2 linked regions of the Mytilus edulis genome follow. The protein of the gene in region 1 purifies or fractionates together with the protein of each later gene. This does not show direct contact. Links are inferred from orthologs where the notes say so. Each region holds a gene or a part of one and is shown on either strand. Other genes may lie near its edges.

Region 1 (8,878 bases):
GATTTGGATTATATTTTTTTGTTGAGAAAGGTTTCTGCAGATATTTTCAGGTTTGTTTGAGACATGTAGTCAGATGGGATCCTTTAGTAGTTTCCATGTGGGAAACTATCAGACCAATCTATTTGATGTCTGAGGGTTTTAGCTGTTCCCCTAATGGATCGGTAGTTTCTTTCCGAGATCCTTTATCATAGGATTTTCGGCTTTCCTCTACCAGGAATACAGCTGGGCATTTAGCGGTATCGGTTTGGATTCCAAGTATGTCCTCTCCGGTTTCCCATTCGTTGTCTAGGCATTTGTGCGGCATCCGGGGTGATCTTATCCCTTATTTTGTATATGGACCATAATTTGGTATTCGGCCTTTGGTTTCTTTTTGTATCCTTTTTTATAAGTTCTAAAACTTTAACTTTTATTTTGTGGGTTGTGTTGGTGTTAGAATAGTATGAATGGAACAATTGAGTCACGGCCAGGCTGGGAGACTGGATAGGCAAATGCTCACATTAAATCTGTACCGATATAGTGTGTTAAATGTCTTCCTTTTTACACCATAACCCATGGTGGTGCTCCTACTAAAGGAGGGAGATACGGAACATACATACATACAAGACAAAGATTTATATGTCATGATCATGTAGTTTGTTTCAATAATTTGTTGTGAAGTTCGCGTTCTAGGTTACAGTATAGCTCACCCCTCAATCAATCAAAGAGCTGATAGCTCTGAAGTGGAAGAAGGTGAATAAAAGGTAACTTGAATTACCATAAAAGCAGCCCCACTAACCCAGGCTGCTTTGTTCCATTATCGTTATAATGTATTTTTTTTCTTCAAACAAGAAAAGGTCACATTAGTACATGGATTTCCCATCCGTACAATCATTTTCTATGTTCAGTTGACTATGAAAATTAGGTAAAATCTTTAATTTGGCAATAAAATTAAGAAGAACATATCATAAGGAACACATGTGTACTAAGTTTCAAGTTGATTGGATTTCAACTTCATCAAAAACTACCTCGACCATAAACTTTATAACCAGAAGCAGGACGGACGGACAGACTAGAAAACATATTGCCCACAAATGGAGCTTAAAAAAGTAAGGCTCGTTACATACCCGCCAACTTTTGAAAGTTCCCAATTCCCATATGGGTTTTTCCTGCACAAATTTTTTTTTAAAGGTTACAATTTTTAGCGATGTATTTTGCACGATCTGGATTGTCTAGAAAAAGTGTCATATTTGTATGATTAACTTACATGCCTTTTTCTTAAGTCTGTTTGCATGATTCTAGTTTTAATTCAGTAGAAAAAATATACATGAAGCTAGCAGACCAGGGTTTATTTTCCAGAGTAAGAATATTAGATGCTTGTTGAAATTTCCAATTTTAAATTATGCACAAAGATGGACCTTTAACAGGTTGGGAACAACACTCCAAATGAGATTAACCTAACTGGAAGATCAGTATAACCCACTGTAAAAAATGAGCACCAAAAAAGTCATTTATATTCATATTATTTGATGAAACTTTTCCCCAAGAACTATATGCATCTATTAAGTACTGAATAGTCAAAACATGTCAAAAGAATTTTCTGTTGTTTCTAAACTTATATCTTTTTTAATAATTTGACCCCTCATTTAGAAAAGTTGTTCCAAATATGAATTTTCCCACTTTTGAGTTTAATAAAAATCTTCAAAATGTACTTTATTTTTTTTCAACAGTAAAATGACCCCTTGTTTTAGGGACAGTCCCTCATTTAAGGGACACCACTCATAATTGGAGTGGGGGTGGGGTGGGGGGTCCCAACCTAAATACAAAAATAAAATATGTTACAACCAGTATTATGTCAATAAATTGTCAATAAATTAGTGAAAAAATACTATTTACTATCTTTATCATGTTTTTGGTAGTACAGTAGACTCCGGCCAATGGGATACCCAGATTGTCAGCTAAAAATATCTGATTACCCGATATATTCAATAAGACGATGAATGTATATTCATTAAATATTCTACAATAATAAGTAGATCTATTGCTTAATATGTGAAAGGGCTGGAGGATTGATGGAGTGATTTTTATCAATAACATCACCACGATGTTTGTGAAATAAAATTATCAGCTGATTATGTAGCTAATGAATAAATTTGTTTCCACCTGCAGTTTTTAAATCCTATATTTATTAAAATCAATTAAATGTCCTGAAGTATTTATGTAAATTAGTATCTTCCATCCATAGTTTGTCTTTACTTGTTTAGTAAACAAATTATTTACATTTTCACACAGGTAAACTAATTTGGCTATAAATAGATCACAGCATGTCTGTGTAGAATCTCTTATCAAAAATCGTAATTGTTATAATTTTATTTCTTTAAATAATCAAATTTAAATTTATGAAAATATTCATGATTGATAAAATAGTATTGCTTGAAGTATACACTTTCAGAGACTATTTATGTTTAGGTCATGGTTCTTCACATAGTTGTAAACAAACCAATATGGCCGACACTCGTGATTACCTTTGCACATGAAAAAAATATTTCTGACAAAAGTCAGATTTCTCTTGTCAAAAGGAATTTATATTTATATTGCAATACATTCTTCAGAAGGAGGTACATAGAGTTTCAATTATATTTCTTTTTCTATGAGCTTAGATTTTAATCACATTCTCCAAACAGCAACGTATTGCTCTTGTCAACTGAGTCTTGAATAATTTTATAAATAGATTCAAACCATTTGGAGTAGAAGGGCATCTAATTCACATGACAAAGGAAAACAATGAATTATGACAACAATTTAATAAGAAATATATCCTTTTTATTTACAAAAAAACAAAATCTTCTTGTCTGCAGGATTGCAAATTCGTAACTTCAAGGGCTAACTTGTAAACAGGGCGAGTTGTCCCGATACCAAATTCACGCATGCCTAATACAAATATCTACAGTTAAAACATCCTGTGACTAGTAAACAAAGACCAAATAACGTTCATGTGGATGAGATGAAATCTGATAATTTACATAATTAAAAGGGTCATATTTACGATAGTGATTGTTTTTCAATCCTAATTTACAAATTAAATGATTCAGATGCCTAATCATGTGTAAAAATCGGTGTCAGGAATCTTAGACTTAGTTGTTATGAAATTGTAATACACGAAACGAATGCGGCATACGGAGGCTCAATGCCAAAGGTCAGCCCCTTAAGTCTTCAGAAGACTTGACGTCTTCTTCCACTAAAAACTGTACTTGGGAGGTATTTTTCTATTGTGTTCAATTTTCCAGGATGGAATAAATATCATAATTCATACTCTGGTAGGAATAATTTTGAAAATAGTGTCTTCGTCTTTTTTGTTAAATTCATTTTTCTTCAGTACATGTGATACTGATAGGCACATTAAACCTTAAATTAAAAAGTTTTATGATTTTCGATCGTAAATATCAGAGTAAGTCATTTTAAATGTATATGTATAACTGATTATACCATTTCCACTTTCGTCACTGCCAAACAATTCTCTGCTTTCCGCCATGCTTTATGACTAAATTTAGAAACGATGTCGGACTGGATACGATAAGACAAATCGGCATCTACTTTTTTCGACACTTCTTTCTTCATACTATAAAACGACAACTCGTACTCAAGCAAGTCGTACCCTATTTTGACCAACACGTTACTAAAATGTATTATTATTTATACATTCACACTAATTTAAAACACTAACAATGTCATCTAAATGATTCTTGTCCACGAGGATAAGGAATGTCATCAAAGGGCTTACGATACAGATACAGGGGGAACGACTGCGTTTCATAGACCCCTCTTTTTTTAAAATGACATTAGGTTTCATTATCGAAACTAAGTCATCTGATTATACTAAAGGTGCATCATAGAAAAACTAGAAATAAATGGAAATAAAAAAAATAAAAAGGATAAAAAGGATCCCCTTTTTTGTTCAAACATGAATGTATGCTTTTGTATTTTATTAATAAATGATGTGAATATTTGAACCTTTTATGATCTTTTATCCAGTTTAGACAGAACATTTCGTGGCATGTATTTATATATATGTATATTGCCCTTTTTAGTCTGAAATAAATCAAGATTACATTATAATTATCATGACTTTTATCTTATAATTTGGGTTGAATCTTACTGACTTACACCAACCATGCACACACCACATAAATCGTTCATTCATCTATACACTATGCTGTTTTAAAACTGAAAGTATATTACTTTTTTAACACATCCTTGATAAATCAAGGGGAGAAAAACACGAAGTTTATTCTGTTGTTTCTCACTAAATTTTACTTCTTGTTGCTATATTCTTCTCCTTGTCGCTTCTTGGTGACTTTTGTCGCTTTTATGCGCTTTTTGTCGCTTCTTGTCGATTCTTAACGCTTATTGTCGCTAATTATTGAAACCCCGAATGAAGATTGATCAAGCCAAAAAAAAATTATGAAAGTTTTTTTTTTAAATTAGAAAACTATACTGCAAATAAACCGTTGCAAATAATGCTGTTCATATTCTACAATCTTGGATAAAATGGATTATTCCAAAGAATTTTTATACAGATTTAGAACATACTTATATATGTTAAGAAAATATTCCAAATGTTTAATTTTTCAAATCTGTATGTGTTTATCTTTTGAAACAAAGAAGTTAGTTATGTCTACCCAAAGGATAGCCTGAAATTAGAAGAAAACAAGAATGTGTCCATAGTACACGGATGCCCCACTCGCACTATCATTTTCTGTGTGCAGTGGACCGTGAAAATGGGGTCAAAACTTTAATTTGGAATTATAGTTAGAAAGACCATATCATAGGGAACATGTGTACTAAGTTTCAAGTTGGTGTAACTTTAACTTCATCAAAAACTACCTTGACCAAAAACTTTAACCTGAACTTCGCACTATCATTTTCTATGTTCAGTGGACCATGAAATTGGGGTCAAAACTATATTTTGGCATTAAAATTAGAAAGATCATATCATGGGGAACATGTGTACTAAGTTTCAAGTTGATTGGACTTCAACTTCATCAAAAACTACCTTGACCAAAAACTTTAACCTGAACTTCCCACTATCATTTTCTATGTTCAGTGGATCATGAAATTGGGGTCAAAAATATAATTTGGCATTAAAATTAGAAAGATCATATCATGGGAAACATGTGTACTAAGTTTCAAGTTGATTGGACTTCAACTTCTTCAAAAACTACCTTGACCAAAATCTTTAACCGGACGGACGAACGAACGGAGGCACAGACCAGAAAACATAATGCCCCTCTACTATCGTAGGTGGGGCATAAAAATAAATAGCCAACTCAGTAAAGACCCGTCTAAATTCTATTAAATTTATCAATGCAATAACACCGTTATCTTTGCGGTGCTATCTCGTCGTTAAGTATATAACTGACAAGATTTCTTCAAATCTGTTCTGCCGTAATTTAAAAGAAGTAATATAACTTTGAACAAATTAAATACAAACAGAAATAATTGCCCTTTCTTAGATTAAGATTATTGAAGCTTGGACAATGAAGTAAACATGTACCAAGCAATTTGAAGAATAAAGAATATTTATTTGTTGGGAAAAAAAAGATACTTCAGTTTAACACGAGAAACACTATGGAAAAGTTTTCGACAAAAGGGCCGATTTTCTCGTTCCCTATTGTTAATTTTCCTTATTCTGAACGATGACGTTTCTTTGGCGCCATCCGTGTCTGTATTGACGTTTGTCAATGAACGTATACTAATATTTTATTTAAAGGGAAAGATTACGTAACATGCACAAGTTATTTAAAATCTTTACCAAATATTTTTATAGATGCAAAGATTTCAAAAGCTCAATCATTTCAAACGAATGGACAACAACTGTCACAATTCTTACTTGGTACAGGCATTTTCTTATGTAGAAAATGGTGAATTAAAAACTGGTTTTATAGCTAGCTAAACCTCTCACGTGTATGACAGTCGCATGAAATTCCATTATATTTACAACGATGTGCGAACAAAAAAACCCAGACATAATAGGTAACAATGTAAAAAATGGGGGTATAGCAGTCAACATTTTGTTATTATCTTAATTACTATAAAACCAACAAATAGAACACAAGAAAAAAATACTCCAGCACAGTAACACGATGACGGAATGTATACAGGGATACGTCATATGACGTAACAAAGAAACACAAAAAGGAATGTAGCTATACAAAGCATATTAACCAAAATGAAAGACACAAGTACATAAATTATATTAGAACATTACCGTATGATTACGCAATGACGGGATGTATAAATACAGATCGAACCAAGTCAAATCTTTATGGATACCACCAATAACAGAATAAAAAGTAAAATTAATATTCATAAACACAAATACAAGAATACTATAACATGTTGTTAAGATCATAAACCGTATGTCAGTTCTCAGAATCTAAACTTCAAGATCATACGGTGTAATTTTTGTGATGTCGATACGGAATATTTATAAAACAAAATCTGGATACCTTCCAATGAACTTTTTAAGATAAAGGATTAGACGTTCTTTGACTTACCCCTGGTTCACCACCTTTCCAACTAGACACTGGTGTCGTTTAACAAAGTCTCAGTAGTTGCTGTATGCTTTTTGTCTGTACACCAGCTTTGATTATTTGTAATATCTTCACTTATTCTTACAACATTTGTATAAACTTCAAGATTATAAAAAAACCGGTTTTTTCTAAAGTAAACATTGATTGGTTAAATATTTCTCAGTCATGTCCTGTTTTTGAATTTGTTTGTTAGCTTTTTGGTCATGAATGTTTGTCTCTAATATTTAATTAACTGTGCATTTGTATTCAGATATCGCAGATCAAATTTATTCGTTCATTGTTTAATCATACGTTTTTTGATTGAGTTAAGTCTGCCAATTGATATTTTATCGTATGTCTTTGTTGTGATGTTATGCTATTGTTTCAGAAAAAGGGAGAAGGTTTGGATCCATTAAAACGTTTAATCCCGCTGCAAATGTTTGCACCTGTCCTAAGTCAGGAATCTGATGTACAGTAGTTGTCGTTTGTTTATGTAATATATACGTGTTTCTCGTTTCTCGTTTTGTTTATATAGATTAGACCGTTGGTTTTCCCGTTTGAATGGTTTTACACTAGTAATTTTGGGGCCCTTTATAGCTTGTTGTTCGGTGTGAGCTAAGGCTCCGTGTTGAAGGCCGTACTTTAACCTATAATGGTTTACTTTTTAAATTGTTATTTGTATGGAGAGTTGTCTCATTGGCACTCACACCACATCTTCCTATATCTATTTTGATAATATTCTGAATCAGGAATGCATTGGGAATTGTATACCCCATATGCAGGTGAAGTTAGTATAATGCTACTAAGGTGGAAACTATTGATAATTTCAAAATTAAAATTGTCTCGTTTGTCATAGATTCTGGCACTGAGATGACCGTGTATGTCACATTCGAGGTATATAAATCTAAAAAGGATGCTAATGAAGCCGTGTTAACTTAATGTTCTAGTTGTGGGGGATATATTAATGGAAACTAATCAGAGACATTTGGATTGTTGATGAAAAGCACATAATCTCATGTATATCACAATATGAAATTAAATGACCTGGCTTTTTTTATCTTCTTCTTTTTCACAAGTGCCCGAAGGAATTCCGATTCATATGAAAATAAGAAAAGGTCGGCAAGTAGATGCAGTTCGTTCCCGTACCAGACCTCAATTCAATTATTCTAATTCAATGATTGCGTCTTAAATTCTTCCCGTTAAGGGTTTAGTATAATATTATGCCGTCATAAAATACAACAGGAAGGACATAACCCTTATCATACCAACAAGTGGTTTTAGAATAAAAAAAAATCAATCATGAGCTTGGTCTAAATTCTAATCCGTCTTTTTCATATAACAGGAACAAGAGGCAATATCAGATTTTATTAACAATAAAAGGCCCACAAGGGGCATATAGAAGAAACATATGTATAGGGGAAAAGAACATTAATTATCATAGATAAATAGAATTTAAATACACAATAAGCTTGTTAATAAATTGTGAGTGATGTCATAGCATTGATTATTTATCACTTTTTAAACATCCTTCCGGCTCCATGTATACAATTATCAGAAAGTAGTTTGTAATTTGCACCGCCAGTTCCAACATAACTCCCGACATTTTGGTTACCGCCAACGTCACGAGACCCCATAGATTGCCATTGATTGGACATATGTTTTGCGTCAGTTACAACCGTTTGACTGGAAATTCCATAGCCATCACCTTTATGAATAAGGTATTGATTTCCCTGGTCCGTTGTTACTCTAAAAAACAGAAATTGAAAACAGTATTTTGTGAAAAATTTATCATGGATGGTTTACATAAATTTAGCCTATGAAAAGTGGTACCTAATGCCATTTGCATTCATATTTTCTTCAAATACTGATTATCAATGGTAGAATATTATATGTTTCAACGTAATTAACATTAGACAGTAGAGAGACTGTACCTTACGGCCTGGTGATTATAACAAATGGGACATTAAGAGAGACTGTACCTCACGCCCTGGTGATTAACAAATGGGACATTTGCACTGCCACCACTACTGCCCATCGGTCTTGCCATACGTTCCACATTGGTCACTTTCTCGTTATATATACCGGTCAGTCCACTTTGTGTCTTTACGTCATGTGGGAAATTTGCCATTTCAAACCCTGAAACATAAACGTATTTCATTAACATATAAATATACATGTGCACTGATTACTCTAAGATACAGTTAGTAGGCGTAGTGAACATAAACATTTCACCATGCAATATATTTTAAAAAGAATCCACTTTGGATTTTTTAAAAATCAACCAATTTTCTGAAACGGACATTAGCAAGATGCTTCTGTTCTTGATTGAC
Region 2 (8,566 bases), on another chromosome or scaffold:
CTGCCAGTTGGACATGTACACCTTACAGTCCTTCCATACACCGAATATACTAGCCCTATTGCTTGTAGTATCTGAGATATGGACTTGACCACCAAAACTTAACCTTGTTCACTGATCCATGAAATGAGGTCGAGGTCAAGTGAAAACTGTCTGACAGACATGAGGACCTTTCAAGGTACGCACATATCAAATATAGTTATCCTATTACTTATAATAAGAGAGAATTCAACATTACAAAAAATCATAACTTTTTTTTCAAGTGGTCACTGAACCATGAAAATGAGGTCAAGGACATTGGACATGTGACTGACGGAAACTTCGTAACATGAGGTATCTATATACAAAGTATGAAGCATCCAGGTCTTCCACCTTCTAAAATATAAAGCTTTTAAGAAGTTAGCTAACACCGCCGCCGCCGGATCACTATCCTTATGTCGAGCTTTCTGCAACAAAAGTTGCAGGCTCGACAATAAAATGAATAGACTTACTATTAGGCCAAAAAAAATATATGTCTGTTTCCTGCTGCCAAGGCAAAAAAATCAGGGTAGGTAGGTCGGGATTTTTTTTTTTTTTTTTTTTTTTTTTTATTATTTTTGCACTCCCTGTCAGATTTGCAAATGGTTAGATGTCATGTTTGGTTAGGGTCCTGTACCCTAAAATCATTTAATCTCTTTAAAGAAGCTTTAATTGAATAATCATCCCAGTGCCGACATTTTTTAAACCTTAATTGTAGCACATTTGTGCTGGGAGCAGCCATTTTAATTGTTTGGGTATAGTAAAATACGGATCTGGATCGGACCGGAAACGAATTTTTCTGGACCGGAAATGATTTTTTTTCCGGAATTGAATAAAAAGATCTAGGGTCGGGGGCTTTGAGTCAGGGTCGGTCGGGAAACAGGAAACAGACATATATTTTTTTTTGGCCTTATCATGATTATCAAGAAAATATATTTTACACCGAAAAATTGAACAACTAGCATGACTAGCTTGCAGTAACTGTGAGTACTCTCAGATCAGAACTTTGTGTCTTATTATTGTTGAGATTTACATGTCCACATCCACCTGCTTTGTGTTTTTGTTAGGGGTATTTCTATTTGTATATATCTATCTGATGAGTTGAGTCTTTTTTTAACTGATTTTTATAGTTTTTTCTTATGTTGTGCTGTTACAACACTGTCCAAAGCTACAAAAAAATGTAGGTGAAGGTTTCGATCCGACTTACATGTTTGTTTTTCCTTAATTTTTTTGTACATTAATTAGGTGGATTGTTTTCTCACTGAATTGTTTTACACTTGTGATTTCAGGGCATTTTATAAAGCTGACTATGCATTATTGAAGACTGTATGGTGACCAGTAGCTTTTAACTTCTGTGTCATTTGGTCTCTTTTAGAGAGTTGTCTCATTGGCAATCATACCAAATCTTCTTTTTTATATCTATAATGAGGGGCCTAATGGGTTAGTTTCGCTATTGTGATCCGTTTTTCTAGATTTTTTTCCTTTTTTTTATATTTTCGTGATCCATGATCATGGAAATTTGTTTTCTGTGAACCAATCAACTCGTGAATCGTGATGAGACACCCCCCACATCAGGCCCCTCTATGATATATCAGGATTATCAACAATATGGTGAGAATATTACAAGGATAGATTTAATAACTACATGTATCATGAATCAACTTTTCTTCCCATTGTACTTACATCATCTTTAAACCCATCAAATCTGTGAACATTTCCATTGTTAAGTCTGAACTTTAAACAGTGACCTCTTGCCCTTTTCAACCACTCTGATGTATTCACCTCCATTCCTGTGAACTGTTCAACTTTTCCTGTTTTATTGTTCTTAAAAATTACACTATTGCTTTGAAGTTTTAATCTTCCTGGGTTCTAAAAAATAAACACAAAGCACATTTATTATGAATAATAATATAAAAAAAATGTTCATATGACTCAGTAAATATTTGTATACAATTCCCCGGTGTCTGTATGCGCGTGATATTGCGCATTAGCTGATTTTGTCATATCAACACAGTAACACAAACAGAATCGTTCTTGTTATTGTTTTAGCCTTCGGAACAATGTGGAAGGGATGAAAAAGAATAAAATTGATAAGTTCAAGGGTTAATTAATAACTGCAATCCCGTCACGTGATTTGCCATATTTGGCCAATTTCCATTAAAAAAAATACATGATCAGATAAAATTTGTTTTAATAAAGTCAAACTTATATAAGATTGAAATAATTTTTGCTCTGCATCCTTGGCAGTGTATTTGGTTCAAACTCAGCTATATTTTGTAGTATAAAATCTTTCCTTTATTTAAAATATGCTATTTTTGGAAGGCATGCACGAAATCACCGGACATTGGAGAAACTCTCAGAACAGGGGTTTCCCTAATTTTGGACACACATTACACAAAATCTAGAGGATGAAACCATACAAACAGAAGATTTTATGAAATAAAAGTATGTTATGAATTTGTTAACACAATATTATCCAATTATTGGTTTTATCAGTTGAATGCAGTGAAGTCATAAGTTATAGGTGAGCGGATACACCGGACTCCACCGTACATAAATATTGCAACATCTATGACTTCTCCTTCTCTCTGTGTCTACATTAAAACAATACATAGATGAACACACTTAAGACTTTTAATTATAATAATTGATAAATTGTATAGATGTGCAAGAGCCTTGAACCCCTATAGCTATTCATAAGAATAAGTAATAGACAGGTCTGTACTATCAGCATCAGACTCGAAAGTGGGACACTTTTATTTATCAGGATTTAACTCTTGTTTCATAAGTGTGGAAATTTAACATGCATGCATTCAGCTGGTTTCAGATGTTTTCAATCAAGTTTGATAAGTAGGTAGACATGGTAGAAAGCATTGCCAAATTGGCCGATACCAACTCAAACCCACTCATCCCCTTGAATTTCGTCCTGTCATCTCCCTACTTATGTATACTGCAAGCGCAAAAAGGTCTGAGCTGTAATTTTCATATAAAAGCTCTTAACAGCCTTTAAATTAGTTTAAAATCGACACAAGTGCGGTGAGTTGCCAGGCCTAAAATATGTCAGAAAATTATTATTTAATTCCATTTTCATAGGTAAACAAGTTTGTCAACAAGCGAGTTGTTTACAATTAGTTAGACAATTTGATAGAAAGTTGGCAGAGTTAGTTGAAAGGGGCGAGTTGGTTGGGGTCTATTTCAGTATTTGGATGGGGCCAGTGGTCTAACTTTCTATCGTTACAAAAAACAGATGTCTTCACATTTTACTGATATTTAAGGTGAAAATACTAACAACTGCTCCTCTTATTTCTTGAACGACGTCACCATATTCCTGAAAGTCGCTCATTGTTAAATAAATTAAGAAATTGCTGATCTATTCATGTGCGTTTTTCCCTCAAAATAATAAAGTGGACCAAGCGGGATAATTTCCGGTTTGAGATTTATATTTGTTTCTGCTTACATTTGATTTATATTCATTAGTTTTTACATTTTCTTATGAAAAATTTCAAAAATAAAAGATAATTGTCAAAAATAATTCAATAAAAAAACAGTTTGGCACATTTTATACAGGAAAACGGACAAAAAATATGATTCTGACGGTTCTCTAAATAGTAAGAAAAAATAGCGGGAAAAAGGTAGAATAATTGGGTAAAAACCTGTACTGTGTATCCGTACCTGAACCACAATATAACTGGGTGTACACAAACAGGTATTTACAAAATATATTTTATAAATACACTCAGTAAAATATAACAGTTGGTTTATTAAGTTTGGTCATTGTTTAATTGTTTTTAACCATCAATGATCTGACTATTTCAAAGTTTCTTGTAATATTAGAGAAAGATAAGGTGGAAATCTCTCTGCTTTCTTTTTCTCGGCCTATCTGAATGATTTTGAATATTGTTTTACAATTGCACGATGGTTTGAACTAAGTTGTATATCTGAATAGATTGAGAATGTGATGAATATGTATAATAAACATTTTTCTTTATTATTTACAGATGAAACAAGGGGCGTTTGCTGAATAAGTTGAAGCTATTTTAGTCCCAACTTTATACATTTAGTGAATATTGTAAACTTTGGAAACTTAGTGTAAATTCTATTATGATAAAATTATGATCTTTTTCTAGTGGACGTTTATCGCAAAATTTTTATTTTCATTGTGATAACATTGATTTAGAAGTTTTCAAAATAATTCCATGTTTGGGGTTGACTTTTCAATGCAAGTACCAAAAAGATATAAGTTAAAAAGACATATCGTATATATAATATGAAATTAAAATTTGTGCCGACTTTTAAAACCTTAGGAAATTATTTTTTTTAAATATAGAAAAAAAAACGATTATTGTTAAAAAATAAATGTAAAATAAAAACAAACAAACAAAAATTTCAACATCTTTTTGAAAATTTTGTTTGGCTCTTACAAGAGCCTTTCGTTGCACATTTGCAATGAAATTCAGGACTTAGTCTTGGAACTCGTCATTTGCAGTTAGGATTCATGCATGTCTATCTCCATCATGGTGCCTTCCATTTGTTCTGCCTTCTCTCTATTATTAAGTAGTTCTAACATGGTGTCAGCCTCTTCTTTCTTTACTGAGGCATATTCAAAGTAGACCCGACGAAGAGCGTCGACAATGGCTATTCTTAGACGTAAATTGTAGCGTAAACTACGATGTCCGGCTCTTTCCGCTCGGCAGTAACGCTCCATCAATAAATGCATCTTTTCGTTAAGCAGAATCATTTGCTTACAAGCTTTGTTGAAACAAATCTTCTTGGTCGCTATTTCCTCTTCGATGTAGTCTTTCTCCATTGCGATAAGTAAACTGACAAATAACGGAAAGGACAGCCATTTTATATCATCTTTCTACCTTAATAATCTCCTTTGATCTTTATCAGGTAATGATGATTTAATTGATTGTGTAATAAATCGCTTAAGGGGTAATTTTTCACACGATAGATAAAAGGTAGTTGTTTTGACAACGCTAGACTGCTGTCTATATAAGTGTAAAAATACTGTATGTAATATTGGTCCCAGATGTGATTTTTAATATATGTTTGAATAAGAAAGCATTAAAAAAGATATGATATTTGTTTTTACAGTAATTAAATTCTTATAACGTATGGCTTGGATCAAATTATTAATTGATAACAAGTGATAGAATTAATACCGACAAAAATATGGCATATCTAGCTAAAATGTCGATTGTATTGAGTCATAATCATCTTTTCAGTAAAATATATGATTCTTTAAAAAGTTATCATTTATATTTGTAAATTTCAAAATACATAATTATTTCACGCATATAAACATACGATTAAGTTCGAGTAAATATGAATAGATTGTTTGAAATATATTTAAAAAGAAAATTAAATTTTAAATAGGGATGGATTAATATAAAACAAAAATGTTAAAATACAATTCAATTCAATTCAATATTTTATTTAAGTCTCATCTCTCAATAATATATAATACAACATTACATTAAATGTAAAATTATATAAATATAAAAAGAGAGCCATTCTGTACAGAATTACAAGAGACTATAACATTAAATTTATATAAAGAATTCATCTATTATAAAACATATTAACATTAACATTATTTACAGTATAAAACATTTCTACGTCTATATAAAATAAGATTACAGGCTTTGGCACAGCTATAATCATATTATTATCTGTAAATAAAAACACTAATTTCTGTTTATCATAAAAAGACATAAAATCACTATTAAAATGTGTTGCTTCATAAAATTTTTTTTTTTCTAAAATCGCCATATAAAGGACACGATAAAATAACATTGGCTTCATCTTCTAAAATATTTATACAATTATCACAGACTCGATCTTTTAAAATTAATTTTTCAAATCTCCCCGTTTCTATTCTTAGTGGTGCTACACCACATCGAAATTTGGCAAAAGAACTCCTTTGCGAAAATGGCATTGGAATTATTTTCTGCAAATTAAAATATAAGTCCTTCTTTTCGACACATATATTATATTCAAGATTCAAAGTTTTATTTAGAATCGATATTCAATAAACTACATAACACAAGCTCTAGTGAGCTTTTCAAATCGACTTAATAACAAAATACAATACACACACACACAATACAATACACACAAACAAAAGTCATGAAAATAACACAATTTTAAACATATAATGCATAGTAAGATACCATAATGACATATATAAGTTAAAAGCATAGTACACTTAAAACATAGCACAAGTTAATATATATTTATATGACCCTCTTTTCCTCGATAATTTTTAAACACGGTATTTTAAAACAATTCTCTTTCATTTCCGTAAATGTTTGCTTACTCTGTAACTAAGGCATGTATTTTTTTATATAAATATTGTGACGTATATTGAAAAAAAACCGCATATTTCTATTCAACATTTTTTCTGTTTATTTAACAATAAAGAAAGTATTGTAAAATTAAACGTTTCATATTCCACACATTTTAGTAGACTTCAATTATTTATAGACCCCCCCCCCCCTTTTATAATTACTTTGAATGATACAGCTCATCTGTATTATAGTATATGCATACATATACTATTTACAAGCGTTAAAAAACACAGGAATTGATAATAAACGTCAGCAATATCAGTCACATATTATACAGTTTGTAAGTTTCAGACACATATAATTCAATTATGCCTTTGAAATTGTTTCTGTACTTAAAGGCATAGAGTTAGTACTTTGCTAAATTACAAAGTTTCTTAGTGTTTTCAACAGAAAGTAATTGTACCAATTTATAAGTTGAAGGTCTAGCCCAATAATATTTCTTGATAAACTTCTAACGTATATCACCATTATTGAACATCGCAAAATAAAATGAAATTCATCCTCTACTCTCCATTTGTATCACACAATACGTATTCTACTTTTCTTTACTAATTTCATCAAAACGACCAGTTTCGCGAAATCAATACATAGAGAATTTATTTTAGAAAATTGAGAAGGAAGGAAAATTTTGTGTATTGTGTAGTTCACGACGTTCAGACTGTACAGTGGCGGATCCAGAGGGGGGCGTAGAGGGCGTACGCCCCCCTTTTGCTTGGACTTTTTTTTTTTTTTGTAAAAAAATATTAATCAGACTAAGACTTCGTGAAATTTGCCATTTCCCGTGTATTTTGTTTTTAAGCGACATTTCTTAACTTATAACGATAATTATTGCTCGTATTTACTGTAATATATTATTATTTATGTCAACGTCATGTGATTCGCTACGGCGGTGTTAACCAGTGCGTCAAAAAAAAAAACCGGCATTCAGTCATTTTGAAATTCAGATTACAGTAACACTTGCTTATGATGAAGGTGACAAGCATGACACCTTCAAAGCAACAAAGGATTGAGCAAGAACGTACTGACTTCTATTTCATAATTCCACCAAACAGAAAGTAATACTCTATTACACTCTCGTGAAAGTTCCATAGCAATATTATAAATCTACGAAAACATGTTTAATCCCAAAGGCCCCAGCCTATAGATAACATAGCTGAATAATGATCCCGAGTCAGTAAGCTCTAGATGGATTTTATGTCTTTTAAAAGTATGGACTATTTGATTTGAGGGGGCAATGATCTGAGAAGTTTGAGAGAAAAAATCTTACCCTGATTTTTGTCTTAATCAAAAATTCTGGTCGTATATATCTGGATTGAAAACATTAATTTTGTCCACTTATTTTCTATTAGAAACAAAAATTTCGGGTGTTATTTTTTGTTGCCGGGGTTTGCATGTAAATCCCATATCTGACCGGAATATTTGTTTCGCCGAACTGATATATTGAATACTTTTGTCAAGGCCCGATTTCAACCTGCCTGCTTGGTGTGGCCATTATATCTCCATTTGTCGACCGTCATCCTTAAATTCGTTGTCCTTTCAGACTCATTCGTAGACTTTGGTTAATTTGGAACCCTCACTTCCCTTGTTGGCTGAAACATTTCAACCAAACATTTGGACAAAAATTGTTTGTTTGTTTCTTATCTGGTGTCGGTCTATTGTAAATTTCATCGATAGCCCGGCGTCTATCTTGTTTACAACAAATAATTGTGAGATTTTACTAAATAAACAAACGAGAAATTTCCATGTCCATTTTTTACTGCCAACTCCCACATCAATTATATTAGTACATAGCTTTCGATCTATCCAATCGTTTTATAATGGGAGAATACGGCATCAAAAATGTCCGACCCTTACACTTTACAGCAACTATAAAATATACATGCCCAACTTCAGGAACCGTGTAAAAAGTTCATTGTACACTTATATTATGCTTTTTTAGCCTGAAAAGGTAAAAAAAAAAAAAATCGCCTCGCTCCGCTTTACGAAATTAAATTTAGTTCGCCCACCCTTTCCAAAATCCTGGATTCGCTCCTGTACTCTGACACAAAATAGTGCTTTTGATGTCATTGTTTACTTAAACTAACCAACAAATATGCAGAAATGAAACTTTTGGTGAAAGGAAATATATTTAGGCCATTTCGAGTCAAAATTCACTTGTCTATGAGTTTGCGTTAAAAATTCAGGATTAATGCGCTACA

What was found. The genes of interacting proteins can lie anywhere in the genome.
Region 2: the proteins of RNA polymerase-associated protein LEO1-like (region 1) and FACT complex subunit SSRP1-like fractionate together in Homo sapiens (co-fractionation; 3 studies listed by BioGRID and IntAct, with this or other methods). This does not show direct contact. The link is inferred for Mytilus edulis from reciprocal best matches to the Homo sapiens genes LEO1 and SSRP1.

Annotation. Positions count from the first base shown.
Region 1 is NC_092354.1:82,880,280-82,889,157, forward strand, and holds the start of RNA polymerase-associated protein LEO1-like, read right to left. Parts: upstream 3,570-8,878; 5' UTR 3,509-3,569; coding exon 3,463-3,508; intron 1-3,462. Other genes in the region: uncharacterized protein, read right to left, coding at 8,060-8,294, 8,528-8,676. UniProt on the Homo sapiens protein: Component of the PAF1 complex (PAF1C) which has multiple functions during transcription by RNA polymerase II and is implicated in regulation of development and maintenance of embryonic stem cell pluripotency.
Region 2 is NC_092349.1:23,153,105-23,161,670, forward strand, and holds the start of FACT complex subunit SSRP1-like, read right to left. Parts: upstream 3,462-8,566; 5' UTR 3,359-3,461; coding exon 3,305-3,358; intron 1,885-3,304; coding exon 1,699-1,884; intron 1-1,698. UniProt on the Homo sapiens protein: Component of the FACT complex, a general chromatin factor that acts to reorganize nucleosomes. The FACT complex is involved in multiple processes that require DNA as a template such as mRNA elongation, DNA replication and DNA repair.